Ovis aries: one gene and its partners. The protein of the gene in region 5 purifies or fractionates together with the protein of the main gene of each other region. This does not show direct contact. Links are inferred from orthologs where the notes say so. Each region holds a gene or a part of one and is shown on either strand. Other genes may lie near its edges.

Region 1 (4,368 bases), on a different chromosome or scaffold from region 5:
CACCAGTAGGTTGTAATCTGAAAAAACTAACCCCATCTGGTGTTGGAGGTGGTGTGGAGGAAACACTTGCACCAGGGTTCACAGCAGCCATAATTCCCAACAGCCCTGAGCTGGGACACAGTGAAAGGCCATCAACAGGGGATGGACAAGCTGGATATCTACACAGTGGGACACCTACTCAGCAACACCAAGGGATGAGCCAGGGGGATTCCCTGGTGGTCCAGTAGTTAGGACTCCACCACAGGGGTTTGCGGGTTTGATCCCTGGTAGGGGAACTAAGATCCTGCAAGCCACGCAGGGGGCAAGAACAAAGATTACAAACCAAGAAAAAAGGGATGAGCCAGTGGCCTACTCAACACAAGCAATTCTCAGAACCAGAATGCTGGACACACAAGGCTCAACACCCTGAGTTCATTTAAGGGAAGCTTTAGAAAAGGCAAAGCAGCCACAGTGACAGAAGTGAGAGTCCACAGCAGGAGGTGGACTGGCTGGGGAGTTGGAAACGTTGCCTCTGGTTATAAAGGTCAGAACCGATTGGACAGAGAAGATGTCTTTCGATGTGTACGAATGTTGCCTACAAATAAAAAGACTGAAAAGAACAACTGAGCAGACGGCGGGCGGTGCTTGCTGTTGACCATGTGAAACTTTCCAAGATAATGGCAAGTGTGTGAAGACAGCAACTGTGAGCAACAACATTGTCATCCCACGAAGTCACCCAGTCCCTTCTCTCCAGGCCGGTTTAGCTGCCATAGCCACGGCTACCTGCTTGCTTTTGGTGACCTGACAAAGGAATTCTCCACTCTGGGTGGAAGAGGTGGTGAGCCTGGGCATGGCCTGGGTGAAGAGCAGGTGCCCTTTTATGCCCCCTGCCCTGTCATCAGTGAGGGCTGCTGGGCAGAGCTGCTAGACTCGCCCCGGGCAGGAAAATCACCTCCAGGGGTGAGGACCTGAGTCTTCAGGGCAAAATGACCCTTTAAGAGTCATGTCAGCACTGGACGCAGTCACATCTGTGGACTGTTGCAGAGAGGAGCCGCAGGACCAGAACCGATTGCAATCTGCACCCCTAGACGGGCCATGAGGACGGTAGTTGGGGAGCTACCAGGTGGGTGAGTCCTCCCCTGGCTGGGGGCGATGGGGGCCACTTTTGAGGCTAGCATGCTCAATCCCCATTTGTGGCTTCACCCTCTGTCTCCTGGGCTGAGCCAACATCTGCACGTGGACAAGTCTGCTCCGGCCCAGGTCTTGGCTAGTGCCCAGCCCACACGGGCCAGTGTCTCTCCGCCACCTCCGGGCTCTAGCGGAACCTGGAGTGCTCCAGTGGGTGGTTCCCAAACCAGGGTGCCCTGTGTTGCAGCCCCCGCCCCCTGTCTGCCAGCCACTTAGAACTGATTGCTGAAGGCTCTGGAGCAGGGCCCCCTCCTGCCGGCCACCTTCCCTGGGAAGCCTGGAGATAACAGCGCCTCAAGGTCAGTCACTGATCCCTGGCTGGGGTCTCCCTGGAGCCCAGCTGCAACCCCTGTGGCCCCTCTCCTCCCAGTGCCCAGCAGTGCCCGCTTTCCGCTGACCCCTCCTGTTGCGGGGCTCCAGCAGGAGAAGCCATCAGTCCCCTGTCGGCGGGCACCTCCTGGCCCAGAGGAATGTTTGCTTCCGGTCAAATTCCAGTGGGTTAGTGTCCTGTCTGCTGAGTCACGGTGCCCTACACCCGACTGCCCTCACCGGTCCATTTGGGATTAGCAAGGGGTGGAACCTGCTCGCCTTGTTCAGCTCAGCCCTGCCACCAGCGGCCTGAGTCACTCACCCAAGGGAGGAGTGAGGTAGGACCCAGACGGGGGTGGGGGCACAGAGGCCTAGGAGGCCCCCCTACCCAGCAGCCTGGGCCTGGTTGCACTGCTGGAGGTAACATGGGCTGAGAGCACAGTGCTCGTGGGGTCTGGAGGAGTCTGGGGCCACGTGGTGACTTAGCAGCAGGAGCAGGGCCTGCTGCAGATTTCCAGCCACCTGCATCTGGCCTGCCAGCACCCTGATCTTATCTCAAGTCTCCAGTTTGATGAGCCCTTGGTCTCGAAGGGTGTTAGGGTGGAGCACGTGACAGTAGAAGTTGGGAGGCCGGGCAGGGGTGGGCTCTATCCCCCTCGAGGCAAGATCTGCCTGGCCTCCCTCCTGGGCCGCGGGGCTCATGACTCATCAGCCCTTTGGGGGAGCGCCAGAGTCACCGTGACACAGCAGGAATCTTATCGCCCCAGGAGGTGAGGCGGCCCAGAAGCACCCCCTGAGGAGAGAGGGCCCGGGTCCTCCAGCTCAGCCCTGGCAGGACCCCGTCTCTGGGCTGGGCCCTGGAGCACTCATCGAGCCCATGGCCCAGATGGGGAAACTGAGGCCCAAAGGCAAAGACCGCCCTGCAGAACCTGCACTGAGCCACTTCTGCCCGAGGGGGCTCCTCGGCCTGATCTTTCTCTCATCTCAATCGCTCTGTTTCCATTGGGGGTTAGAGTGGCTCCAGCCTGGCAGGCCCAGGGTTCCTCTCTCAACACTGGTCTGGAAGGAGAAACGGGGTTCCTGGGTTCCAGAGGCCTCCAGACCAGGTCCTGTAAGTACGTCCACTGCCCTCCTACTGAGGGTGGGAGTCTGGAGGAGGGAGTAGGGAGCGGCTGCAGCTACAAGGCCATCAGGTAACTCCTCAGGCTGGCCTTCGGACGGGGCGGAACCTGGGCGCGTGGGTGCGGGGTTGGGCAAAGCCGGCAGGGAGGAGAGGGGCGGAAGACAGCTCATCCTTTTTGGAGTCGCAGGCTCCGCTCCGAGGCCCTGGCTCTGCGGACCTTGGCGCCTCCCAAGGCCTGGGGTGTGAAGGCCTGGCAGTGTTTGCTGTCACATGCACTCACCTTCAGGCCCAGCCCCCAGGCACGGCTCCCACAGTGGGGGGGTGGGGGGGCCTCAGGGCAGGTGCCTGCTGTGCTGTGAACTCCTTGGTCTCCCAGAGTAACAGGTTTGTGCCGCCTGCCTGCCTCCCACATATCCCAGCAGGAAGGGGAGAAACAAAACAACAGAAAAAACAGGCTCTACTTCAGAGGCCCTGGTACTCCCCCACCCCCCGCCCTGCTGGCTGCAGCTGGCACTTCCTCTTTCTGCCCTAGAAGCCTCTGCTGATTGCTCTTGGAACAGAGAAGAGCAAAGGGGAACTACTCGGGTTGCAAAGAAACAATGTTGCCCAATGCCAAGGCCACCACACGTGAAGGCAGGGAGGAGTCACCAAATCAGCTCAGCAGAACCCTGGGGCCCCTTGGTGCTCCAAAGACTTCCATTGCCAAGTGGAGACTGTGGGGTTGAGAGAGGAGGAGACACTTGGCCCAGGCCACAGAACACACTTGGATGCTCTCACTGAGGTGGTTTAATCGGAGTTGAGGATCTAGGGTCATAGGCAATTTACTAAGGCTGGGGACCCTCTGCTGGAATGTCTTGGGACAGGCTGGGATGGGGATGGGGGAAGGAGGAAAAATAATCCTGAGTAACTTTCTCTGTCAACCTATTTCTTGGACCAACTCCGAGGTGTTAAGCTTTCTGGTGCCTCGAGGGATGAGGCTGGGGCCAGGGTGGGGGCTAAGCTGCCCCCTGTGTGCCCCTCCTGGGCATCCTACAGTCTTGGGGTGATAAGACGGTCAGGGGAGAGTTTCGGGCAGCCTTCCCTTCCTTCCCAGCAGCACAGCCCTCCTCGCGCGCAAAGCCCCCTGCCCTGCATTCTGGCTCTTTTTCCAAGTTTTGACCAGAATCACACAACTGGCAAGAAACACGTTCTGCAAAGGGCGGTAGCTTGTTATGATACATGAATGAAGAGCTGAATTCCTCTAGAGCTGAGGGGAGAGGGGTGTGGAAGGGACAGAGAGACCATGCCTGCCCTGTCAAGAGCTCACTCGCTTGGCAGAACTCTCGCTTCAGGTTTATACAGTAAGTCACCACCAGAGATGCTCGTAATCCTGGGGAGCGGATTCTTGGTCCCGTCCAGGATGAAGAGTTTCCCTTTGAGATGAAACGTAGACAGCGTTCCAGCCGTTTCTCATGTCTTGCCACTGGGTTGATCTTATTTCCACGTGGCACATGGAGAAAGTGCTTTTAGTTGGGGGGGCCGGTCATGGCTCTCCAAGGACCCACCCACCCTCTCGTGTTCCACCCCCTCCCAACATGTATGGTCAGCACGCTCTGTTTCTGCCTTTGCTTCTAGTCTCTGGCCTTTCTCATCACAGCAAAGTGGCAGTTCCACTGGCTGGACAATGGGGCTGGTCTCAGCTCCTCGGGAGGCCTTGGAAGTCGGGGCAAAGAGATGGGGTTTCAAGAAGGGTCAAGTGTGTGTCTTTGGGGACCGTGAGGGTAGACAGA
Region 2 (3,048 bases), on a different chromosome or scaffold from region 5:
GCCCGGGCCGGCCTCGGGCCACCTGTGAGGGCCTCTCGGTCCAGGGCCTGACCGCGCCGGACGCGGTGTCCGGGGCAGGGCAGGGCTAGGGCATGGGCCTCAGGAGCCTTAGGCTAAGGGCCCCTCTGAGACCCCTTTTTTGTGATAATGTTTTGCACTTTTTCGTACAGGGGATGGGGGTGGGAGGGGCCAGGCCCCCTGGACTCTTGATGCTCCTTTTTTTTTTTTTTTTTTTTTGTGGGGGAGACCTGACGTTTCTGCTTTCTGCTGAGACCACCCCCACCCCTGACACCAGCAGTCCCCCTCCATCCTGGGGCCTGGCTCAGACACAAGCCAGGAGTTGGGGTTGAGCTGGTTTCCCTCCTTTTGCCCTGAGGGCTCACCCTCTCCCTTGCCAGAGGAGGAGGATGGATGTCCAAGCTGAGGCCCCGTGCACAGGCCAGGCAGTGCAGCCTTGCTTCCCTCCTTCAGTGGGCCCTGCCCTTTGTGTCACCTCCACCTCCATTAAAACTGCTCTCGACTTGCTGGCTGGGCCTCCTCCTCTCTCCCGTGCCTGGCCTGAGGCCAGGGTAGGCATTTGCTTCCCGAGGACAAGCGTCACACACATCAGGGGCTGCTGTAAGTTGGGGAGGAGGCCAGGCCCCCTCCCTTTCCCATGAGAATCTTTTATTTGCCCCAACTGAAGGGTGGGCATGGGGTGTTAAATAAGAACTGGAACAGGCAGGGTCACTGTACAGAGGGGGCCCGGAAGGGGCTGGTGGGTAGGGAGCGGTTCAGTGCACCTGAGGCTGGGGGCGCCCGTGGCAGAGCCCTCCTGGCGGCTCAGGGGGTGGGCCCAGCTTCTCTGTTTCCTGTTCCACCGACTGGCTCCCATAGGCACTGTCCTCCTTCACCTCTGCTGGGGGAGTGGACGCGGGAAAGGGTGCAGGGAAGCGTCAGGCCTTAGGCCTCCCACCCTCCAAGCCCAGATCCACCTCTCAGTTACGGCCCCTTTACCTGTGCTGGGCAGCTTTTCCTGGGTCTCTGGACCCTTCAGCAGCCTCACCCCCTCCTCCAGGCCCATGTCAGACAGGGCATTCAGCAGGCCTGCCAAGTCGCCACCAGCCAGCTGAGGAGAAGGAGGAGGCATGAACCAGGAGTTGTGGTTAGGGTGTGGGATCCCTGAGGAAGCGCCAGAGATCTGAGACTGGGGCATGGAGCATGGGCCGGGGCCTGACTGACCTGGTAACTGCGCAGGAGGCTGCCACTGGGCGAGGCTGTCCTTCGATACGTGTCCACCAGACTGCGCAGCCCCAGCCGTTCTGCCAGCTCCGCCCAGCTGCCCTGGGCTCCTGGCCCGTCAAGCAAATGCTCCAGGTTCTGTAGGACTGTATCTTCAAGGGGTATCTCTGGCCCTGAAGGGGACACACACATAAACATGTTAGTTACCCCCAGAGATGGCAAAGACAAGACACCCAAATGTCACCTTTATCTCAAGGCAACCTGATAGATAGTGCAGGCGGGGCCACTGGGGCAGTGGATGGAGGATGGGGATGGAGAAAGGGAGACCTCCTTCAGTGGTCCCGAAGGATAAGAGACCGCTGTGAGCAGGGGTCAAGGGTCTGGCAGTGGTGGGGGAGAGCTCTTCACCTGCAGGGCTGGGCGGGGTCAGCGGCGGCGCCATGGTGTCCTGAGCAGCGTTTAGCAGCAAGGTCTTCACCTAGGGAGACAGCTTCAGCCATGACTACCTCCCATCACAGTACTTGACCCCAGGTACCAGCTACTCAGGACCCCATGTACAAGCCCGGATGCCCCATCCCCTGGTACTGCTAGTCCTGGGCTGGCCTCACCTTGCTACTGCGAGTGAGGTCAAGAGGTGTGTGGCCCCGGAAGCTGCCTCGAGTGTCCCTCTCAGGGCTCTCAGAATCTGAGTCACTACCAGAGGTGGGAGGCGAAGGCAGTGGGCACAGGGGCTCCTCGTTCTCTGCGTGGACGTCAGCACCTGGGGGAGGGAGATAGTCACAGGGAGGCTCCCTCGGAGCCCACGTTAAGGACTGCAAAGTGCGGGATTGGGAGGTACCCCCTTTCCCCCGTCAGCCCTGTTCATAAGCCCCCGAGGGTGGGACTGACCAGCCTTCAGAAGGAGGCGGGTGAGGGTTGGGGATCCCAGTCCAGCTGCCAGATGTAGGGGTGTGTTTCCCGCAAAGGTTCGGGCATTCACGTTGGCCCGGAGCTGTGGGGTGCGAGGGAGGGGTTGATCATAGCACTGACTGATCCACTGGGCCTCCCCCGACACCTTCACCGTCCCCAGCCCTTGGCTCTACGTCTTCCACAGTCCTCAGTCCCACCTTGGTAACGAGATGGGTGACCAACCCCAGCTCCTCCATCTCTGTGGCTAGATGCAGGGCTGTCCGGCCCCCCTGACGCTCTGCAGCCTCCACTTCAGCCCCATTCTCCACCAGCAGATCGAGGCACTCGGGGCTTCGGGCACGGACTGCCAGGTGGACTGGGTATAGCCCTAGTGATACAGGGTATTCAGCCCGCAGCTCTGCCCCTAATGTGAGCCCTTGACCAGCTGACCTCCACACCTCACATCCACTGTAGGCGCTCCCCAGATCCTCTCCCTGGTGCCCACTCTTGCCCGCTGGTTCAGATGAGGTGATGAACTCACCTTCGAAGTCGGGCACATGCAGCAGTTGGGGCATGGCAGGAACCCCACTCCGCAGCAGGGTGCACAGCATGTCGGGGGCGCTGGCACCTGCCCGGAGTGCCAGGTGCACTGCTGAGTCTCCATGCCGATCCAGCAGTGCTGGGTCTGCGCCCACCTGCAGCAGGAAGCTCACCACCTTCGTCTGCCCTGTGATCACTGCCAGGTGCAGGGGCGTCTGGGGAAGGCAGGCAGGGTGAGCCAGGCCTGCTCCTTGCCTCACCTATCTGACTTCCAACCCCTCCCCCTCACCAAGAGACCCCTCACCTGGTGCAAATGATTGGTGATATTAACCACGCCGAGGTGTGGGGCGTGGTAGATGACGTGAGCTATTTGCTCAATGACGGTGGTCTGCCCGTGGA
Region 3 (3,801 bases), on a different chromosome or scaffold from region 5:
ACACCTCCACGTAGGTGTCCTCCTGGGGGGGCAGGTGGAAGATGCGCCGAGGGTTGTGGTGCAGTCGCTGCAGCACGTCGTCCAGGCTGAGCCGGCCCTCGCTCACTGCCGTCAGCAGCAGGGGCAGCATGGTCTCCAGCCCTGGGAAGCCGGGGGGAGGCCGGGGCCCACACTTCTCCTCCACGGTGTGGGGGGCTGGGGGAGAGAGCACCACCCTCAGGACAGTGGCCTCCATGCTGGGGAGTCACACACGCCACCAAGAAAGGCTTCACTACCAACCCAGACTCTAGCTTTTCCTGGGAATCCGAAAACAGGGAAGCTGGGACTGCTGCCTTCTTCAGGGCCCATACCTTCCACCCAGATTCTCTCATTTACTGTTTCCTCATTTGCTCATTCGTTCTCTCAGTAAATACCTATCAAGCGCCTATGATAGACCAGGAACTTGGCTGGAGTCCCACCCAGACCAAGCCCAGGCCTCATGGAGCCCAAGGTCCTGGCCCAGATCCCCTGGGCCAGGGGGTACGTCCCGGGCCTTCTCACCGTGGTCGGAGGCAAAGCAGTCGATGACGGCCATGTTCTCCCATAGGGCTTCCATGTCCTCCCGGGAGCCAAGCTCGGGCCGAACCTCCCCCTTCCCGGGCCCCAGACGTTCCAGGTCATCACGGCTCAGGAACAGATGGTGGGGTGCCACCTCACAGGTCACCGGCAGCCCCCGTGCCTTTGCCGCTTTAATCAGCAGGATCTGGGGGAGAGTGGGGAGACCTCGAGGTGGGGGTTGTCCCTCGAGGCCCTGACCTGCACAGTCCCCGCAGCCAACCTCCCCTCCTGGAAAGTCACGGGGCAGGCGTGCTGAGCCGCCCCTGCCCCCAAGGACCATCCTGATCACCTGGAGTCACTGGGAAAGCCACAGGGGCGCCCCTGGGGCTCTCACCTCCTCCTTCCGTGCCACGTGACAGATGTGCACAGAGCGCTGGGCCAGCTGGGCCACCATGAGGACGGCTGCGACACTCTGCCGCTCGGCGTGGGCCACGATGGGGAGGTGGGATGGCCATGTCTCGAAGTGCTGGGGAAAGGAGGAAGGTTCCGGGACCCTGCAGCGCCCGAGCCCTTGCAGGGCTCCCAACTCACACTGCCTCCAGCCTGTCATGAGGGGGCCCTCAAACCAGGGGCACTGGCTGGCTGGCCCCACCCCCACCCACCCCCTACCTCCATCCACTGGGCCACACTGTCCAGCCGCAGTTCAGAGAAGGTCTCGTTGAGGTAGAGCTTCAGCCCCGCCGCAGACCCAGCCACGGTGCCCAGGGTCCCTGCATTTTCCGACGAGGCTCCGAGGAATAAGGCATAGTCACAGCGGGCGCCGGCCTCTGCCAGCTGGAAGGAATACATTCGAGATAGGGCCCACCGGCACCTGTGCCAGCCTGGCTCACGTGGCCTGGCCCCTGGGGAGGGGTAGAGGGAGCAGCGTAGAGGGAGGTGGGGGAGGCAGGTGGGGGATGTGGGTCACCAGGAAGCAGGAGAACCGGGGCTCACCTTCTGCGCCAGGGCCAGGGCAGGGGCGTCGGTGATGGGGGGCCGAGTATTAGGCATAGCACACACCATGGTGACGCCCCCAGCCAGGGCAGCAGCTGTGCCCGAGGCAAAGTCCTCCTTGTGTGTCCCCCCTGGTTCCCGCAGGTGCACATGGACGTCGATCAATCCTGGGAGAACACACAGGCAGCAGGTTGGAGGGAGAGTCAGAGACTCAAGGGCATCAAGGTAGGAAAATAAGCAGCGACTGACACCAGTGAGAGGTGGTGAAGCTCTCAGTCAGGGGCATCGTGGATGGAGAATAAAGAGCTCAGAGTGAGTAAGCTTCTGGGCCCTTCCCACTCTGAACAGTCCAGGGCTGAGTGGGCCCCACAGCCGTCCTTCACCACAGCCCCTACTGATGTACAGGAGCCAGGTTCTCTCCCGAGATGCACTTACCAGGCAGCCGCACGAGCTTCTGGGAGGTCATGCAGTCAACATGCGCTTTCAGAGGAGGGGCTGGCCCGATCTGTCCCAGCGCCTGCGGGGGGAAAATCAGGGTCAGCAAAGATCAAAGGGCAGCCTGGGATCTGCAGATGGGGCCTGGGTTTTCCCATAAACCAGGCTTCCTCTCTACATCCATCCTCTCTCTTTGCAGCCACAAAGCTTGATGACTAGCAAGGCCGCTCCATGAAGAGATTTCCCAGCCCCAGAGCATGCTCACTTCTGCCTCCTCCCTTGCTGACACTGGCTGCCCCAGTCCCGGCGCCCAGGGTCTCAGTTACCTCCACAAACAGTTTGGTGCACTTGATGTCAATGATGAGGGGTACGGAGAAGTCAGCGGCCAGGCGCCGCGTGCGGTAGCCCTTGGTGACGAAGGAAGAAAGACGCCGGCCCCCGGCCCCACGCATGGACAGGTTAATCACGAGCTCAAAGTTTTTCTCAGCGAGCTGCTCCAAAATGCTTCGCTGTGGTGGGCACTCTCCATCCACTGCCTCTTCAAAATGCCAGTCCACAGCCGTCACCTGGAGCCCAGAGACAAGACTGGAGCAACCTGAGCCTGGCAGGGGGCCAAGAGGCCAGCGTGAAGGGAGGGGGGAGGTGGCCTAGGAGCCGAGGAAGAAACTGAGGACCCACAGGAGAGGGACCAGGCCACTTCACTTTACTGCAGGCAAAGCATTTTTCTTGACCAGAAAATCTTTACACTATGGTTACCAAGGATTCTGCAGTATGGAGCTCACACAATACACAGAGGAAATCATGGAAGGAAATATGCCAGAATGTTAACAGTGGTGGAAAGATCACGAGGGATTTTTTTTTCTCTGCTTTTCTGTATACTCTACTGTTCTACGTGGAACAGATGATTCGTACAATGACATGGAAAGCAGGGAAACAGGAGAGAATCCGGGTGTTCTTATATCTCAGCGGGCGGGCAGTGGGGGGTCACCCCATACCTTGACGCCATGCTCTGTGTAGAAGTCAGCGGTGCCCAGGCTGGCGTAGAGGCTGTAGCCCAGGCTCTCCAGCAGCCTCACAGTTGGGAGCAACTCACTTTTGTTCTGAAGAAGGGAGGATGAGGTTGTTTCTCCTGTCCTCCACTTCAAGTTAGCCCTGGCCCAGGGAGCAGTGGCCATCTGTACCCACCCCCACCTCTTCAGGGCCCACCCTACCCTCCACCCCCCCACCCCCAACGTGGGTTCTTACCTTATAGCTGCCAATGGTCAGCAAGATGTTCTTCTTGGGGATCTTAAAACCAGTACTGAGCATGGCCTTGAGGTAGGCTTCGCAGCGGCTCTCCCCAAAGCCAGCCACTTCCCCAGTACTGGTCATCTCCACACCCAGCACCACGTCAGCCCCCGCCAGGCGGGAGAACGAGAACTGGGGCACCTGAGGGAGCAGGAAGTGAGAGCGGCCCACATCCCTGCACCAGGAGGGGTGGCAATGATCTCCTCTCTTGGCCTTCTCCAGACAGGGTGAGCCTTCCCCGTGCTGCCCTACATGAACCCGCCAATCATTGGCTACTTCCCAAACAGGCTTGCGCTTCCCTTGGCCTCCACGAGGCTACTCCCTAGCCTTGGAACACTTCCTCAACAAGCTCGGCAAATCTCAAACCTTGACTATATTCCAAGGCTCAGTGCAAACACCACCTTTCTTCTTGAACCTTCCCGGGTCACCCTCTGTGGAAGTGGCACCTCCGTGAGCATTTCACTTCGGTCTCTACTCTGCAATTTTATCACATGCTATCCTAGAAGCAAGCTGTTTGGGAACCTCTAGAAGCAAGCTGTTTGGGAACCA
Region 4 (4,406 bases), on a different chromosome or scaffold from region 5:
ACTCTCCATATTCCTCCTGGGTGATGTCATCAGGGTTCCTGGTCCAAATGGGCTTGGTTTTGTTCAGTTCTTCCTGATCAATGTACTTCTCCTTTATCTTCTTTGTCTTCTTTTTCTTATCCTTGCCACTATCATCCTCCTCGTCTGAGCCCACATCTTCAATCTTAGGCTTCTCTTCATCATCTTTATCTTCCTCTTCTTTCTCACCTTTCTCTTCTTCAGCCTCATCATCACTGATTTCCTTCTCACGTTCTTTCTCCAGCTAGAAGTATCAAAGATGACAGTTTCAGAGTACAAAAAAGCAAAAAAAAAACCCCAAAGTCCATGCAATTCTCTCAAGCAGCAGTTACCTGCACTTGAGTTACCAGTCCATACTCACATAAAGTGTGATGGGATAGCCTATGAACTGAGAGTGCTTCTTCACCACTTCTTTGACCCGCCTCTCTTCCAAGTATTCTGTCTGGTCTTCCTTCAGGTGGAGAATCACTTTGGTACCACGGCCAATAGGCTCACCTAGAAAAAAATTAATCAGAACAGAATATAAGAAACTAAATAAACAAACGCAGAACTATAACTGCTTTACACATACAATACTCAAGATCTTCATTAGTGTTTCCCCAGAATGCTAATCCAGACACCTTAACAGGAAAGCCAACTTACCATGGTCAGCCCGGACAGTGAAGGAACCCCCGGCAGAAGACTCCCAAGCATACTGTTCATCATCATTATGCTTTGTGATCACCACCACTTTCTCTGCCACTAGGTAGGCAGAGTAGAAGCCCACACCAAACTGCCCAATCATGGAGATGTCTGCACCAGCCTGCCAAAAAGTTTAAAAGTCAAACTCAAGTTTCAAAGAAATGGCAAAGCAAACACCAATAATATAAATGGAGTGTGCCTAACCAACCACGTACCTGAAGAGCCTCCATAAATGCTTTAGTGCCAGACTTGGCAATGGTTCCCAAATTATTTACAAGATCAGCTTTGGTCATGCCAATGCCCGTGTCTACCAGAGTCAGAGTACGCTCCTGGGGATTCGGGATGATGTCAATTTTCAGCTCTTTACCACTGTCCAATTTAGAAGGGTCTGTCAGGCTTTCATAGCGAATCTTGTCCAAGGCCTGAAAGTACAAAATTGCAGTTTTACAATTCTGCTTCCTCAAAACCCATCTCACCCAAAAAGTTTTTTAAACTCCCCAAATACGCTAATTCTGATTACTCCTTTAGCTTGTAGGTTGAGAACGACATCCAGTGGGTTACAGTATCCCATCTATCCACAGAGAGCAAGGCAATACTTTTTGGAACAGCAGTTAAGTTTATATCCCCCCTTTATCAGTTAACACCACAAAATGCCAAACCACCCCCACTTTCCCTCTCTTGGAGTACTTGAGAAACAAAAAACCAACGTCAATGAAGACATTCAGGGCACTCACATCAGAAGCATTACTGATCAACTCCCGAAGAAAAATTTCCTTGTTGGAATAGAAGGTGTTGATAATAAGAGACATGAGTTGGGCAATTTCTGCCTGGAAGGCAAATGTCTCCACCTCCTCCTCTCCATGGTGCACTTCCTCAGGCATCTAAAATAAAAAGCAAGAATTTAAGACTCCTCAAGTTCACCCTCAGCCACAATACACTTAAGGAGACTCTATTCAAACTGTTTTGAGCTGGGTACAAAGACTGGAAAATCCTTCCCTCTATCAATTTCAGGCAGCACCCTTAGAAACAACGGGGGGAGGGGCGCACCTAACACACTGAACAAATTGCGCTAATGTTTCTTGCAAGTTATTGTGAACCCAAACTCCTGTTAAGTGAATCATAGATCAGCACAATCTAGTTAGGCACTCCAACCCAGGTATCTCGAAAGCGAGGTAAATTCCCATATATTTAAATACGCAAATTACTATCGTTCCACCTTCAAAGTAATTAGTTTCACATTAAAGGGCAATCATTTAAAACTGTCCTCCCATTAGGTAACTCCAAGGAGATAATGTGGTACTGCTGCCTCCCGTAGTAGGGACAGCTAACTCGAGATTGGCGGAATGCCCATCCAGGTGGGCTATCAAGACAAAGAACCGATAAAGAAAGGGCTCCATCGTGACCTCTCTGCACACGTGACTGAAGCTCAAGCCCAAACCAAACACTAAGATGGTGGCCTTAGTCTGCGGGGCCGACTCTCGTCACGGCTGGACATGCGTCGACCACGCGAGGAGGGGGCGCCACCGCGCAGCCTCCCTTCGCCCCAACATCCGGGCACCAGGGCGGGGCGCCGGGCTCCAGAAGCTTCCAGAACAATCTCAGTTCTCGGAGAGGGGCGGGGGAAGGGACGTGCCCACGAATCCCAAAGCCTGCCCCCTCCGCTCGCCAGCCCCTCCTCCACCGAGACGCAGGAAAGATCTGGAAGGATGGAGGAAGCACGACATACGCCGCCGGCGACCGAAAACGGAGCTCTTCGCAGAGCCTCACGGAAAAGCCCCGAAAGAAAGGACTTTAAAAAAATTGTGTCCGATAGAACAAGTGGCAAAACCTGGTCATGACCAGCCTTGCTGAGTCACAGAGGGCGCGCCCACCCGCCCGGCTCGGGGACCCTCCGGCGCCCCGTAGCCGCGTCCGGAAGTGGAGAGGCAAACATGGCAGCGTCCCGGGCCGGCGCGGCCACCACGTGCAGTGCCTACCCCCCCGCCCCATTCTGCGGCCCCACGAAACAACGCTTTATAGCTGCGGGAAAGCAGCCCCGCCGCCAATCACATAGAGTCTAAACTCAAAAGCTCGCTCCCAGCCCTCCCCCAAGAGAAGCAATGGGAGCGTTACGCCAGAACCGGTCCCAACACGAGATGTAGGTCTCGGAAAGGATGCGTGGGCCGAAAGCAACGCGAAAGAACAAGCTAATCTGAAAAGCCCAGATGAGACAGGAGCCTTACCTTCAAGGATAACAATCACAGGTATTAGAGAACACCGAGCAGGCAATGGCTTCCTCGGGCTCACTCGCCACAAGAAGGCTGCGCGGGGGTGACTCGAGAGAACGGCTGTGTGCCCCCAATCACTTTATATAAGGCGAAGCACCGCCCAGCTGCCCGCCCCCGGATCCCTCCGCCTTAAAGGAGGATGCCTGTCTGCCGCGCACCTGCCGCCGCCCGCCCGCCCACCTTGACGTCACGGTCCAAAATAGGGGAGGGGACCTTGAAAGGCGGGAGCCGCCGGCCTTGAGATCAAGTACACTTATTTACTCCTGTTCACAGCCCCGTCTCCGCGTTCCTAAAACAGGACACCATCAGAAACATATGTTGGGAGTAATCATATAACATAAACGGTGGAACTAGAAGCGAGGATTCCCCACTGACCTCTGTGAAAACCTGCAGGGCAGGCATCTCCACTCCTGACAGTCCCAGCCTCGGGACTAAGGTCCAAGCCTAAACAGGGGTCACCCACTCCCCCCTACGCTCCGAGGCTCGACCTCCTCATTAGAAGCTGCCCTACACATACTCTAATTGCCTGATACGGGAAAGGGTTCTTTTCCGCGGGCGTTGCGGAATTAAAGGTCCCACTTTGTGGGCATGCCTGGAATACAGGCCCTCCCGCGGCGGGCCGGCGTTTCGCGGCGAGGCGTGGCTCCGGCTGCGGGCCGGGCGCTGGCTCCAGCCGGCCAGGGGACTCTTTGACTGCACACGCGGCGGAAGGATCCAGGGCGGCGGCGCTGCGACACTTCCAGCAGCTTCCAGACCGGCCGGGGCGGCCCTGCCCCGCCCCTTCCCTTGAGGCCCCGCCCCGCCCTCTGCGGCCTGGGCTGTGCCTCCGCGGTGGCTCCGCCCCTCAACCGCACTGCTGGGATCCTGGTGTCCAAGTAGGCTATACCTTCATTACATTTCCTCCAGGAAACTGCAGAGGGGATCCATTACCCTACCCGCCAGACCCAGCTAGCCGGGCACTGCGTCCGGGTGGGGTGGAGCGGGGATGACCCCACTTCTCCCCCCATCGATCACACAGCACACCGGCCGGTGGGGCGGCTCTGAGGGTGCCGCCTTCCGAGAGCAGACACTGGGGATGCGGTCGCTTACCCGACGGACCGCTCCCACCCCCAACCCCCAGCCGCCCACAGGTGAGGGAGCGCAGAGACTTGAATATCGAGTTGTTTCTCAGTCTGGCTTCCTTTTTCTTTTTTTTCCCCACCCTCTTCCCTCCTCCTGCAGCTGCCTAGATCTGGGAAGAGTCCGGTCTCCCAGGACTCCTGCAGGGTGGCAGGAGTTCTTGGAGGCAGCATGAGGACGCTGGTCAGAGTGTGGCCCCATCCAGGTGCCAGAAGCAAGTCGTTCCCCTTCGGCTGTGGCCCAGGAGCCTCAAGGCCATGGACCTGCCTAGGGAGTGCCAGAGGGACGCCCTTCTCTGCTGTCTCTGCCACGTTTGCGTGC
Region 5 (3,801 bases):
GCTTGATTAGTGTTCCCTGTGGGCATCAGCCACTGGAAGTCACAGTGCCAGGCTGAGGGCTGGGAGAACACATTCTCCTTTCCTCAGCCCACCCACCTTGATGCAGGCACAGAAGATCTGGGAGGAAGCAGGCATGATGGGGCGAGGTAGGAGCCCAACAGGGACCAGGGCCACGGGTGCCCTGGGCCTCACCTTTCACATCTCCGTGTAGAATCCTGCGGGTATGGAGGTATTCCAGCCCTTCCAGCGCCTGGCCCAGGTAGTAAAGGGCCCGGTCCTCTGGCAGACAGCCTTTCTGCTTTATAAGCTGGCCTAGCGAACCACCTAGGAGATCAATGGCTGGTCTTTACATGGAGCTCTTCCAGGCCTCCAAGTCAGCCAAGGGCAAGAGACTTCAAACGGCAGGTGGTAGAAAGCAGGCCTTTCTTGCTGATGTCATGAGGTCAAGGGTTTAAAACTGGATTGACTGGGGACCAAGGTTAACCTGGGCAAGACTTGGAGAAACTCTTGGCTCTGACTCTGGAGGGAGTAAGAGTGGCCCCTGGCTCCTTACCTTCCAGCAGTTCCATGAAGATGTTGACCCAAGGCCCTTCCTTCACAGCTCCATACAAAGGGACGATTCTGGGGGAGGTCAATCCTGCACATGCCATCAACTCCTCGGCCCGAAATACTTCGACTCGCACCTAGAAGGGCCCAGAGGTGGGTGGGAGTCAAGCTGAAGGTCCGGGGTTGGTTCCCTGGGTTCCTATTTGGACCCTTGGAGCTCCCTACATGGAGACCATGGATGGGCCTGGTGATGATTCTGAGGCCAGGCAGGGCCCTGAAGGGCCTGCTGGACACTTAGAAACTAAAGCGTGAACCCTGGGGCGGTCAGGGTCAATGCCTAGCACTTGACTAAAGTTCTACAGTGCTGATGTTTATGGAAACAGTCACACAAAAACGACAGTCCTTATCCAGGCCCCTGGCATGCTGCTCACCCTCAGATCTGCTGAACACAGAACTTTCCTTCCCCCCAGCTCAAATGTCCGGACAGTTTCTAGGTTATGGGACCTTTTGTTTATCAACATCCACGTCTTAAGATGCTTCTGTAGCCAGAGCTGGGACAGCCAAGATTCTGGCTCTGTCAGTGCCTCTGGATCCTCAGCATCCTTCTCAGCACTTAGTATTCGCTGATAATTGTTTGCCTTTCCCCCTGAGGGCTAAAATGTCCATGTAGATGCAACAGTGCTTGTTTATTCTGTTTGCAGCTGTTTCCCCGGGATCTGGGCATAGGAGAGGATTCTCCTACGGGGAGGGGCTTGGCCCAGGCCCCGCCTGCAATGGACTGGCAGGCTGGGGACCACCCACTCCTCTGCAGGGACCAGCGTGGCATGGAGGAAAGAAATAGGCCTTGGATACAAGCAACCCGGGCTGAGACCCTGGCTTGGCAGTTTCCAAAGGTGGATCACTTCCTCTAAGCCATGTGTGAATGGTGGGGGCAGTGGCCTCTGCTCCTGTGTAGGGCAGCGGTTTGGAGGGGTGATAACCAGCACTAGGCCTCAGTGGGTGCTCAGGTATGGTAGCTCCTGCCTCCTCCCTCCAGCTCAAATGAGAGCCGCTTAATAAATGCTTATACTTCCTATAATAGAGACTTGTTTTTCCTTCCGGCTGCAGTTGGCTTGCCTGTTATCCCCGAGAAGTGCCACCAGGGGGCGGGAGTGGTAACAACACTAGCCAGGAAGCAGTCGGTCAGGGTCTGGCAGTCTTCTTCGGAGACCTGCTGACTTGTGCGGCTTTTGGACTTTTGCCTATCAGTGGAAAATGTCTCTCTTCTGATTACTTGCAGAATATCTGGTTGATCATCTTGCACGAACTTTGACTCTCTGTCAGTGTTTCCAGCTCTGAACCTGAATTGGAACTAATTTGTCGACAGGACTTGTATTAGCAAATGTCTTTCACCCTATTGCTCCCAAACTGTGAGGTGAAGCGCGCACCACAGAGAGCTCACAAGGGGAACAGTGATGGTGACATCTGGGAACACCACCTAGACTACTAGCCTGAGATAGTTCAGTTTCCATGGCTGCACTGCATTCTTTTGAGGATGTATCTTTATGAAGGTAGGTTTTTGGAGGCTGCTGTGACAAAAAGGTTCTTTAGGGGGATAGTGTGGAGCAGGATGTGAAGGGATGGTGTCCAGTGATCTCAAAGGTGGAGAAGTTGTGCGTGCCCAACAGGATATACATTCCGTTAGTAATTATGGTTGTTTAAGAAGGAAATTTATCTTTCCATTTATGTGTGTTGTTATGCAAAGGGTTACTAGATTGTTAGGATAAAGACTTATTACTTGACCCAATTATTTAACAGATGAAACTTGCTTTAGTCTGGGGCACCTTGAAAAAATGACATGAAGGGCTGTGAACCAAGGAAGTCTGGAAGCTTAGGCTTTAATTCTGAAGAAATTCGTAAGTCTTTCAGAGTACCCCAGTGATATTAAAACCCTTCCCAACCACTTTGATCAAAGGGAGTTGGAAGGGACACTTCAAAATACAAGGTGTGTTAGAAGTCTGGGGCAGCTCCAGGGAGAGCAGGTTGAAAGGATGCTCTCAAGGGAGAAAGGTTGCCCTTCTAATCCAGGCCAGCTGCCCATCTGGCCACCTTTTTCTCTCTGGACTTCAGTGTCCTCATCTGTACAGTGAGGGCTGGACTCTGATGAGTATGTTAATGAGAACTAATATTTAATGCCCACTTAACAGATTCCAGGGACTGTGCTCAGAACTTTATTCATCGTTTGCATCTTACAATAGACTCGGAGGTGATATCATCTCATTTTATAGACAAAGAAGCTGAAGATCAGACCGGTGACCTGCTCAAGGTCACGGGATATGAAGGGGCAGAGCTGGGGTCTCAGGCGGGGGTAAGCCTCACTCCAGAGCTGCCAGCTCCATACCTTGCTGAAGGCCGTTTTCCAGGGGTATTAGCTTTTACATCCTGGACATTTTTTACTGAAGTTCAAGAGCATGCATGCCCAGGTGGAAGAATGGTCAGCAATCACCTAACTGCCAAATCCACAGGCCATTTCCCTCTGCTTAACTGCCCGCACGCTTTATACCAGGGGTCTCTCTTTCCTTCTTGGAACACTCCCTCTTGTTTTCTTTAGTATTCATATTCATTTTCTTTCACCAGTAAATATAAGGGAATAAAAGCAATTCTACAAGCTCTTTTAAAGATCTCAGGAACAATCATATGTGAGAGGCAGATAGTTTGGTCCTTTATTTCCTCATCGTCATGGAGACAGTCTCCTCTTGGTCCTTGTGCTGATTTCCTCAACACTCATCCTGGCTGACTTTGCCCACGTGCCCGGCTGATGGCTGCTTCTACCACCTTTCCACCATGTAAGTGTCCACCCCCGTTACAATCCGAGCTCCTTCAGGTCAGGTGTGTGGACCCCACACCTCTGTCCCCAGCCCGGGCCTAGCATCTGGCACAGAGCAGGGGCTTGGTAACAACAGCTGGCTGGACTTGGCCAAAGCCACTCTAGCCCAGATCAGGGCAGAGCAACAGGAGGCTCCTAGAACTCTACGTTCCAGCCAGACATGCTCAAATGAACTGTTCTTAACCCTCTTTGGGCCACAGACCCCTGTGAAAATCTGGTGAATAAAAAGTGTGTGTGGGTCCACCCACACCACGTGTGGAATACAATTCCAGGAGTTCGTGAATCTTAGGAATGAACTGACTAGGATTAGAACTTCTACACTGACTGTTCAAAAGCACTAGACAGGTGTCTATTACCAGTGAGGAAATCTGTCCATGATCCACTGTTGC
Region 6 (4,542 bases), on a different chromosome or scaffold from region 5:
GTGGTTCAGTGGCTAAGACTCTGTGCTCTCAATGCAAGGGGCCCCAGTTCGATCTCCGGTCGGGGAACTATTAATAGATTCCACATGCTGCAACTAAAGATCCAGCACACTATAACTAAGACCCTGTGCGGTCAAATTAATTAAAAAAAAAAAAAAAAAAAAACCCTCACTGGATCACAGCAAGTCAGTGATATGCAGAAGGAGCAGGATATGAACCCAGTCGGGCAGGCCTGCGCTCACAAGGGTACCAGGCTACCTTTTGGCTAATCCCCTCTTCCACTCTTGGTATTGCTTACTCTTTCCTCCCAGGCGCCGAGCCAAGTTCTTTCAAGATCTAATCTCATTTCATTTTCACGACAGTCTCATGGAGGCGGAGGGCTCGCTCCCCCAAAGCAGTGATGGTCCTGTGGCAGGGCTGGAGCCCAGGCTGCCAGTCACTGGCAGCTGAACCTCGTGCTGGAGACACCAGGCTCCCTGCCTCCACTCATCTCCACGACAGCCCTGGGTCCTCAGCGGTTGGACAGGGAAAGGTTTTGCGCCAGGAGGGAGTAGGGCGTGGTGAGAGGAGGATGCTGTATGAGAGCGGGCATGGCCTCCCAAACCAGCAGGACCAAACCTGGTGATAGAGATCAACTTCGTGACAAGAATAGGTGTTCCCGAGAATGAGCTTTAAAGCTTTGCGGAGAGCTTCAATATTTCATCATAAAATGTCACATATGGCAAGAGAGAAATACTAGAACTTTCTTTTTCCACTCCAGTGGCTTTCCCACCAGGTACACTAGCCAGGTGAAAGGGTTAGTCGCTTAATCGTATCCGACTCTTTGCAACCCCATGGACTGTAGTCCACCAGGCTTCTCTGTCCATGGGATTCTCCCTCCAGGCAAGAATACTGGAGTGGTCACTATTCCCTACTCCAGGAGATATTCCCCACCCAGGGATTGAAGCTGGGTCTCCTGCACCGCAGGCAGATTCTTTACCATCTGAGCCACCAGGGAAGCCCTAGCCAGGAGGCTGCTGCTTTAAGTAATGGGTTGGACCCAGAACTGGGACTAGATGTAGGCACGGATACTGTGTCTCAGCAGGATGAGGAAGGGCGCTTCTAGGTGTTTCTGGATAAACAACTGCAAGCTGATACATGGGAAGACAGAATGAGGTTTTCCTAACTGGAAAGTTCTAGAAGGTATATTCCATAAGTGTGAGAGCAAAGCAGCCCCTGGAATGTGGGTGTAGGAGCTCTGAGTTGGTGGAGCAAGAAGTTAGCACACAAGGTCTCAGGAGAGCCATTCTGTTGGTCTGTGAGCACAGCTGAGCGGCTGCGGGGGTGGGGGGGGGGGTTGCAGGTTGTCGAAAGAACATACAGACTTGGGATTCTGGGGGTCTGTATTTGGGGGAAAATAGATAAAAGAAGGGGCGGTGAATCTGGAATCAGGATGGGTGGGTTCCTTGTAACAGCAGGGTCATTGTGGATGTCTGAGAATAGCACACCAAGTTTGGGTCAGAAGGGAGATGGGATGGATTTGGGTCCTGGACTTGGGTTTGAATGTGGCATTCTGAAGCTGGCAAAGGTTCCCACTGGAAGTCTGTCTTGGGGGTGGGCGGGGACTGGGTGTGAGGTACCAAGGAGGGGCAGGGGTTCTGGCTGGGCAGGAAGCCACGTGGGTAGGGTTTCCTGATGTAATGGGAAATTGGGTCTAACAGTACCAGAGGCTAAAGAAGAGCCTCCGGAATTGGAGGCTCCATCAGGGTGGAGGTGGTGGTTCATTCTGAACAGGACCCAAGTTTCAAAATTCCAGGCCTAGATGAGACTGAGGGCCTTGGGGGGAGGGGGTACCAATCTTTGTTCTAGGGGAGGGGTCCTGGGTGTGGGTTGGAGTCCCAAGCCAGGAACAGAAATCTCAGGGGAAGACAGAATTATTTTATTCAGAGGAGTAAGACTTCTGGATCTGAACCATAAGGATCCAGAAAAGCAGGTCGCAGAACAGACTTAAACTATTGGGAACTCTAGGGTTTTGGAGGACTTCCAGACGGGGCCAGTGGTAAAGAGCCTGCCTGCCAATGCAGGAGACATAAAAGATCCCTGGATCGAGAAGATCCCATGGAAAAGGAAATGCCAACCGACTCCAGTATTCTTGCCTGGAGAATCGCACGGACAGAGAAGCCTGGCGGGCTACAGTCCATGGGGTCACAGAGTTGGACACGACTGAAGCGACTGAGCACAGGGGTTAGGAGGAGCCATGGAACAGCCAAGATCTTAACTGGGTACCCGACTAGGTTCAGGATCCAGATTCTGAGGTAGAAATCTGGGTGTAAATGGAAGATCCCAAGCAGGATTGGGAGGCACGTCAAAAGCTTGTCTTGGCAGTCTAAATTCTAAAAATATACCGTACAGGTCAACCTGGCGTTTCAAGAAGAAACTGGAAGCGCGGGGCGGTGGGGGTGGGGGGGGGGGGGCGGCGCCGGCATCGCGGGCAAGGAACTCAGGGGTCCCGGCAATTCTATGGCCCCGGAATTGAATCGAAGAACCCTAGGCTATTCGGAAAGTCCAGGCTGTAGGGGGCAATCCCAGGTATCAATGGCTGGGGCCCCCCGGCAGTATCAGGGGGTCAGAACTCTGAAGCGGAGTCCCGGGAGTGGGGGAAGGGGCTGGGCGCGCGAGCTCTACCTGGTGCCGCCAGCGGAAGAGGCTAGCGGTGTCGATGTTGGGGTGCGTCTCGTCTTCATCATCAGACACCTCGATGTGGTCCCACACGCTGTAGTCCACCATCTTGCCTCGGGGCCCAGCCCTCCAGGGTTCTGGTAGCGGTGGCGGCGACGGCGGCGGCGGCAGCGGCAGCACTGAGACACAGCCCGCGGAGCCCCGCCCCTTCCGCTTCCGCCCTGACGCTTACACCCCTCCCTCGCGTGACGTCACATCCTTAGTAACCTCAGCAGCGGCACTGGCGACCAAGTTCTTAAAGAGCCCTGCGCACGTGTTCCGGCTCTCGGGAGTCCGCTGAGACCTCACCCCATCCGGCTTCCGGCCTCCACTAGGCCCTTCCTGGGGAATTACGGGTGGGTTCTCCAACCTCGAGCCCCCCTCATCTCCCGCTACCCCACGGTGGGCGTTTACGGCAGCCTTGGGAGAGGGGGCAGTTGGCGAGACTGAAAAAGAGGATTGTCCTCTTAGCCACGCCACAGTGACGTCAGCCTGAGCCCACTACTGGGGCTCGGCCTCGGCGAAAAGACCTCGCTCCCGTCTTTTGTGAAGAGGGACTTAACTTTGTCCTGGAGATGGTGCCTGATGGGAAAGGACCTTCCCAGTACAAGGGGTACAAGGCCCTGCTCTAGGAGGGTCTAAGTGAAGGAAGGTTGTGGCCCTGCCCTCGAGGAGTCGAGATGGGGGCGATGTGGCCCTGCCTTGAGACCTGGTGTTTCCCTGGCTCGGACCACAGCTTCCCCTCTTGCCTCCCCCATCTTCTGCCACTCCTTAGCGGGGATTCGCGCATACACGCCCCCTCTGGAATCACCCGACCGCACTTAACGGGCCTCATTAGCTTGTCTACGGCGGCTCCCCATGCATCCGCTGGGTGTCGCTAGTGTCTAACTAGCGGCCAGTGCGGGTGCCCCGCGCCAGGTGGGGGAGGGGTGGAAGAGCTTGGAAGTGCGCACGCAGGGGGTCTTTCTCCGTCGAGGTACTCTGGGACTCCTCGCAGTCCCTCCCTCTTTCGTCTGGGATCCCCTTCCTCGTTCCAGACTCTAAGAACTCTATTACACTGAGCTTGGGCGACCGCAGCCACACATTTTCATGTATCCCTACCCACGCTTTGATACCGGGATAAAAGGCTGCGTTGCAGCCTAGGGCCAGGATTATCTCAGATTAAAGGGCGCAGGGCGGGGGACAGGGAGAATGGGTAGAGATTCAGCCACTTGAGTGAAGGGCGCCTCTTCCAGACTCCCCCCAACCAAGCAGGCGTTTGGGGGGGCGCTGGAGAGGAAGGAGTAAAGGTCTTTAAATGGGTGGGGTGTGGGGGATTCCCCGGCCCCGGGAAGGGGTGGGGCCATCCGGACAAAAGCGCCCGCCCGCCGCTGCCCCTCCCCCTCACGGTCCATTCAAACCCGCGAGTAGGCGGGCGGGGGCGGGGGAGTCCCCCTTTCCTCCTCCTCCTCCAACCCTGGCAGTTCAGCATCACAGCGGCCGTCAAGGCCCGGGTACGCGCGCGCACGGACCTACATCCCAGCGGGGCTCCCGATCTCACACTTACACACACACACACACACACACACACACACACCCCGGCAAACAAAGGGTCTGGACACCCCGGTCCCCTCCCGCCCCCCAGGCCGGAGAGGGCGGGGCATCCCCTCCCGAGCCCCCCTGCAAGGTAAGCTTTGGACTACGACTGCGGCCGGGAGGGGGACCTGGCCCCTGGGAGGGAGAGGCTCCGGGCGGGGAAGGGGGAATTCCATCGCTCCCCAAGAAAGGCAGGGCCCCCCACGTAGCCGGTTGAGGGCTGCAGGCTGGCCTCCAGGCTGAGGGTGTATAGGGAGGACCCCGAATCGGGA
Region 7 (4,289 bases), on a different chromosome or scaffold from region 5:
AGGGAGGTGGCCTCACCAGAAAAATGGTGCAGCCCATGAGAAGCTTCCTGTCCTGACAGCACGCTCTGTACCACGCCTCCCTCGCCCCCCACACCCTGCCAGGAGTGCTTCCAGGTGCAGGCTGCTCCCTTCCCCTGGCATAACGAGCTGAGTGGACTGGAGGGTCTGGAGAGTGGGATGGGGTCTGGGTGGTCCTGGGGTGAGTGGAAACTGCATTGGTCTCACCCACACCCTTCAGGGTATTTTGGAAATCTCTGGGGATCGAAGCTGTGTCCTGGAATTCTGGGTGTGATGCAGTTTTGCAGGCTGGGCTTGAGGACTTCAGGAAGGAAAAGAGAGGGCCCCACCCTCCCGGCAGGCCCAGAGGGCCTAAAAAACTGCCTCGGTTTGCCCAGTGCCTGCAGAACCCCCAGGCTTATTAGATGACATCTTGATTTAGCCAGTTCTTGGTCTCATCCCTGCCCAGTGGTTGCCTGGCTGAGATCTTGAGTGGAGCCTGGAAGTGGCCCTGGCAGGCTGGGAAGCCCTTGACTGGTAAGGGGAGGGTGCGCTGGACCGGTGGCCACTTGTGGCTGGAGGTTGGTGGTAATTTGGTAATTATCAGTCTTTGGTAATTAAGTAGTTGGGAACACAGGACAAAGTCCAGTGTTACAATGTCAGCCTTGGCCTGAAAATTTGCATTTTTCCTTAAACATGCTTAACTTTAAGCCACTTGAAATGATGCAGAAGCGATTCTTTTTTTCTGAGCCGTGTCATGTGAGGAGAAGCACCCTTCTAGAAAAACAGCCACTCGGCCCAGCCCTCGGAAGGGACCGAGTGCCGGGGAGACACGGATACCTTTTCCCCGTGGTCTGGGCGCTCAGTGTTCATCACAGCCAGGCTCTGACCTGGGCTCGTTTTTACCACACCGTCTACCCAGCAGTTCTATTTATATCAGCACATCCGAGCGGGGACTGCCATTCCTCAAGGATATTAACGCTATTGGAAAGGTCTTAATTCCAAGCCCGAAAGGGATCATCAGCACTACATGCCAGGGGACTCAAGTTTCAGCAACTGGCTGTCTAAACACATTTCAGATGGTGATTTTTAAGATGCATGCCAAACGTGTGATCTTTTGTTTCCTCCAATGATTTGTAATATACATTTTAAGACTGGAAACTTTTTTGTACAACATCCAATAAAACATTTTGGTTTTAAATTCTGCCCGTGAGTTATTACTCCCACGCCAGGCTGCCGTAGTAGTAGCCTAAGCCACTTAGTTAAGCGGATGTCTTAGGACCCCCATCTGACCTCGGACCGCTAGTTTTCTGCGTTCCCCCATCTGATGCACCGACACCCCGCAGCGCTCTTGGTTCCCTAATACAGCCTGGAGCTACCAGGTCTGCAAAGCGCAGGGTAAACGCGCCCATCGTCCAGTGTGCACGCCCTGCGGGACCTTTGGGGGTGGAGCCTAAGCGCGGAGGTGCGGGCCTTTCAACCCCGGAGTTCGACACGGGAATCCGACTTCGGCCCGTTCCTCTCTGCGCGTGCGCGGGATGTTTCGCGCAGCCTTATGGGAGTTGTAGTCCGGCTCCTGCTCCCACCCACTGGAACTCCATTTCCCGTGGGGCCCTGGGGCAGCGGACTTCCGGCGTGAGTGCGGGTCGGCGCACGCGGCGGCGGTCCGGTTGACTTTGCGGAGCCATGGAGGGCGGCTTCGGCTCCGATTTCGGGGGCTCCAGCGGCGGGAAGCTGGACCCAGGGCTCATCATGGAGCAGGTGAAAGTGCAGATCGCCGTGGCCAACGCGCAGGAGCTGCTACAGGTCCGGGGCTGGCCGGGGGCGGGGTGGGGGACTAAGGGCTGCGAGATCCGCCGGGGCCGGTGTCGCAACTGAGGGCTCGCGTGTCCCCACAGAGGATGACGGACAAGTGCTTCCGGAAGTGTATCGGGAAGCCGGGGGGTTCCCTGGACAATTCGGAGCAGGTAAAACCAGGGGTGGCGGGGTCACGGGCTGGACCCGGTGGGGTGGCCTCCGCGCGTGCGCTGACTTAATAAAGAGGCGTGGAGAGTATGCTGCGCGTGCGCAGTCCGCTACCGGGGCGGGGGCACCAGCAGCTGTCCAGACCTAAGCGGCTCGCCCATTCCTTCCCCAGAAGTGCATCGCCATGTGCATGGACCGCTACATGGACGCCTGGAACACCGTGTCACGTGCCTACAACTCGCGGCTGCAGCGGGAAAGAGCCAACATGTGACCGCGACGCGCCAGCAGACCAACCCCCCAACCCTTGCCCTACCCCCGGACCTATTTCCATAAACGCTGTTTGTGAGGCGGGGTCCTGCATGTGCGTACTGCCTACCAGAAGTTTATGAGGACGACATTGGTGCTGGGACCGTTGGGATTCTACCCGTCCTTTCCGCCTAGCCTCCCACCTGCTAGCCGGTGTAGCTTGGGTTTTGGTAGGGGCGGCCTTGGCTCCGGTGCCACCTCCCTTTGTGCGCCTGTTAACGGATTAAGTCGTATGGACCGTGATGGGGCCTCAACCCGGCTTACACTGTCTGCCTGGGAGGAGGGTGCTGGTTGACACATCACAAGCTTTATTCAGCGGCCAGAGAATGGAGAAGCTTGAACTAGTTCAGGGCTGAACTTGACAACCCCCTGGCGAGAGGGATTTAATTTTAAAGGGAGGAGTGAGGTCAGTGATGGGGAGCCATGTTTATTAGTTTACCTGGGAAGGGGCAGGGCTTTTTTGAGGAAGTGGGGGACCACCTCCTTTTTATCCTGTTTTGGTCTTTTAATGTATGGTACTGGCTGCTGGGAGGTGTGTTGTTTAATATGTTCATACAGTAAAATCAACATGTAATGAGATGCAGGGGCTGTTGGAGTTTGGATTGCTGCCAACTTGGTCTCAGCTGGTTCCACTTGTTTTTTTCTGTGTGTGTGTGTGTAGAGGGAGCACTTCCTTTTTTATCTCTGGACCCTTGAACTTAAAGGTTTATGTTAACTCTTGCTAAACGTGGGGAGGGGCTGTGGTTGGCAGGTTTTGAGCAAATTCCTGGCTTTCCCCTGGCGACAAAGCCTCCCCTTTTCTTGTTACTGCTCCTCATTCTTGAGGGGCACTGGAGGACAAATGGTCTGACTTCTGAAGCTGAGGCTGTTTTTTGCTGAACACATGGGTGTGGTTGTTCCCTAGTTGAGGGGGGCAGAACTGTTCCCTGATGAGCCTAAAATATGTGTGATGGTCACCAGGCTGCAGTCCCATGTACTTGCATCCTTGCATTCGAATCGTCCTGAAGTTTGATGACTTAAAGCTGTTCACTAACGGAAGTTGAGGAGGCAATTAAAGAGGCCCGCCCAGAGATGAGCAGACAGATGATAGCAGTTAGTGGGTAGAGAAATGGAAGAAGCCAAGCTAAGCCAAGGAGGCCTCTGTTTGACCAAATGGAGCTTGGATTGGATTTTGGAGTGTGTTATATCTGTGTAACCACTGAGCTTGCTCATACCTGTGTTTTGTATTTACCTTGATCTGACCGGAATTATTGACACCCATGTAGCAGGTCTTAACTGTGCAGACTTCCCCTTCCTCAGGTAGGAGATAATCAAGGGGCAGCCTGTTGTCGAGAATATTTGCTACTAAATCCACAAGCTTTGAGGCATGGTTTTAAAAAAAGGGGGTAATTTAAGGTCTGTGGCAGGTTCACTAGTATATTGAGTGGGTGGCTCAATAACTTCTTTCTCAGGTGTAGATGATGTCACTTTGGTATGGTGGCCCGTGGAGTCATGCCCTATAATCATCAGAGTGGGTGGTCGAGATTACTTGGAAAGGTCCTGCCCACCTAGGGTCTGGGCTTCCCAGGTGGTTCAGTGGTAAAAGGATCCTCCTGGCAATGCAGGAGATGCAGGTTTGATCCCTGGGTCAAGGAGTTCCCCTGGATGAGGAAATGGCTACTCACTCCAGAATTCTTGCCTGGAAAATCACACAGACAGAGGAGTCTGGCAGGCTACAGCAGCGCCTGGGGGGGGTCTAACTGGTCTTCTGGATTTCCAGCTTCCCAGGTTCTCAAACCCAACCCCCAGGGAGGACAGGATGTGAAGTGATGTCCAGGCAGGCAGTTCCAATCCCGTAGGTGTGTACAGCTCTGACTCTCCCCTCTTAAGGCATGTTTCAGTGCGTCCATCTCCCTGAGGTGGGTTTTGGAGCTGGGGGGGCATCCCTCACATGCCCCCATGTGGACCCCACCTGTGTGACCCTCGGGGGCTGTCCACGTTCTCACAAGTGCTCTAGGGGACGGAGAGCCAGGGCAGGTGAG

The links.
Region 1: the proteins of MAP3K14 (region 5) and IKBKG purify together in Homo sapiens (affinity purification with mass spectrometry; 6 studies listed by BioGRID and IntAct, counting the BioPlex papers as one, with this or other methods). This does not show direct contact. The link is inferred for Ovis aries from reciprocal best matches to the Homo sapiens genes MAP3K14 and IKBKG.
Region 2: the proteins of MAP3K14 (region 5) and NFKB2 purify together in Homo sapiens (affinity purification with mass spectrometry; 6 studies listed by BioGRID and IntAct, with this or other methods). This does not show direct contact. The link is inferred for Ovis aries from reciprocal best matches to the Homo sapiens genes MAP3K14 and NFKB2.
Region 3: the proteins of MAP3K14 (region 5) and CAD purify together in Homo sapiens (affinity purification with mass spectrometry; 3 studies listed by BioGRID and IntAct, with this or other methods). This does not show direct contact. The link is inferred for Ovis aries from reciprocal best matches to the Homo sapiens genes MAP3K14 and CAD.
Region 4: the proteins of MAP3K14 (region 5) and HSP90AB1 purify together in Homo sapiens (affinity purification with mass spectrometry; 4 studies listed by BioGRID and IntAct, with this or other methods). This does not show direct contact. The link is inferred for Ovis aries from reciprocal best matches to the Homo sapiens genes MAP3K14 and HSP90AB1.
Region 6: the proteins of MAP3K14 (region 5) and CDC37 purify together in Homo sapiens (affinity purification with mass spectrometry; 5 studies listed by BioGRID and IntAct, with this or other methods). This does not show direct contact. The link is inferred for Ovis aries from reciprocal best matches to the Homo sapiens genes MAP3K14 and CDC37.
Region 7: the proteins of MAP3K14 (region 5) and TIMM13 purify together in Homo sapiens (affinity purification with mass spectrometry; 3 studies listed by BioGRID and IntAct, with this or other methods). This does not show direct contact. The link is inferred for Ovis aries from reciprocal best matches to the Homo sapiens genes MAP3K14 and TIMM13.

Annotation. Positions count from the first base shown.
Region 1 is NC_056080.1:79,920,160-79,924,527, reverse strand, and holds the start of IKBKG (NF-kappa-B essential modulator), read left to right. Parts: upstream 1-1,373; 5' UTR 1,374-1,466; intron 1,467-1,782; exon of another isoform or gene 1,783-2,587; intron 2,588-4,368. UniProt on the Homo sapiens protein: Regulatory subunit of the IKK core complex which phosphorylates inhibitors of NF-kappa-B thus leading to the dissociation of the inhibitor/NF-kappa-B complex and ultimately the degradation of the inhibitor.
Region 2 is NC_056075.1:22,795,553-22,798,600, reverse strand, and holds the end of NFKB2 (nuclear factor NF-kappa-B p100 subunit), read right to left. Parts: coding exon 2,954-3,048; intron 2,865-2,953; coding exon 2,651-2,864; intron 2,498-2,650; coding exon 2,328-2,497; intron 2,213-2,327; coding exon 2,110-2,212; intron 1,982-2,109; coding exon 1,830-1,981; intron 1,700-1,829; coding exon 1,630-1,699; intron 1,395-1,629; coding exon 1,222-1,394; intron 1,109-1,221; coding exon 997-1,108; intron 899-996; coding exon 774-898; 3' UTR 615-773; downstream 1-614. UniProt on the Homo sapiens protein: NF-kappa-B is a pleiotropic transcription factor present in almost all cell types and is the endpoint of a series of signal transduction events that are initiated by a vast array of stimuli related to many biological processes such as inflammation, immunity, differentiation, cell growth, tumorigenesis and apoptosis.
Region 3 is NC_056056.1:34,315,996-34,319,796, reverse strand, and holds part of CAD (CAD protein), read right to left. Parts: intron 3,394-3,801; coding exon 3,211-3,393; intron 3,066-3,210; coding exon 2,961-3,065; intron 2,532-2,960; coding exon 2,292-2,531; intron 2,048-2,291; coding exon 1,966-2,047; intron 1,698-1,965; coding exon 1,531-1,697; intron 1,372-1,530; coding exon 1,207-1,371; intron 1,064-1,206; coding exon 932-1,063; intron 743-931; coding exon 541-742; intron 196-540; coding exon 5-195; intron 1-4. UniProt on the Homo sapiens protein: Multifunctional protein that encodes the first 3 enzymatic activities of the de novo pyrimidine pathway: carbamoylphosphate synthetase (CPSase; EC 6.3.5.5), aspartate transcarbamylase (ATCase; EC 2.1.3.2) and dihydroorotase (DHOase; EC 3.5.2.3).
Region 4 is NC_056073.1:17,733,246-17,737,651, reverse strand, and holds the start of HSP90AB1 (heat shock protein HSP 90-beta), read right to left. Parts: upstream 3,022-4,406; 5' UTR 2,922-3,021; intron 1,581-2,921; coding exon 1,434-1,580; intron 1,122-1,433; coding exon 915-1,121; intron 821-914; coding exon 661-820; intron 514-660; coding exon 380-513; intron 263-379; coding exon 1-262. UniProt on the Homo sapiens protein: Molecular chaperone that promotes the maturation, structural maintenance and proper regulation of specific target proteins involved for instance in cell cycle control and signal transduction. Undergoes a functional cycle linked to its ATPase activity.
Region 5 is NC_056064.1:44,656,957-44,660,757, forward strand, and holds part of MAP3K14 (mitogen-activated protein kinase kinase kinase 14), read right to left. Parts: intron 684-3,801; coding exon 554-683; intron 325-553; coding exon 193-324; intron 1-192.
Region 6 is NC_056058.1:12,789,652-12,794,193, forward strand, and holds the start of CDC37 (hsp90 co-chaperone Cdc37), read right to left. Parts: upstream 2,860-4,542; 5' UTR 2,765-2,859; coding exon 2,663-2,764; intron 1-2,662. UniProt on the Homo sapiens protein: Co-chaperone that binds to numerous kinases and promotes their interaction with the Hsp90 complex, resulting in stabilization and promotion of their activity. Inhibits HSP90AA1 ATPase activity.
Region 7 is NC_056058.1:18,946,930-18,951,218, forward strand, and holds the start of TIMM13 (mitochondrial import inner membrane translocase subunit Tim13), read left to right. Parts: upstream 1-1,632; 5' UTR 1,633-1,683; coding exon 1,684-1,803; intron 1,804-1,895; coding exon 1,896-1,964; intron 1,965-2,134; coding exon 2,135-2,233; 3' UTR 2,234-4,289. UniProt on the Homo sapiens protein: Mitochondrial intermembrane chaperone that participates in the import and insertion of some multi-pass transmembrane proteins into the mitochondrial inner membrane.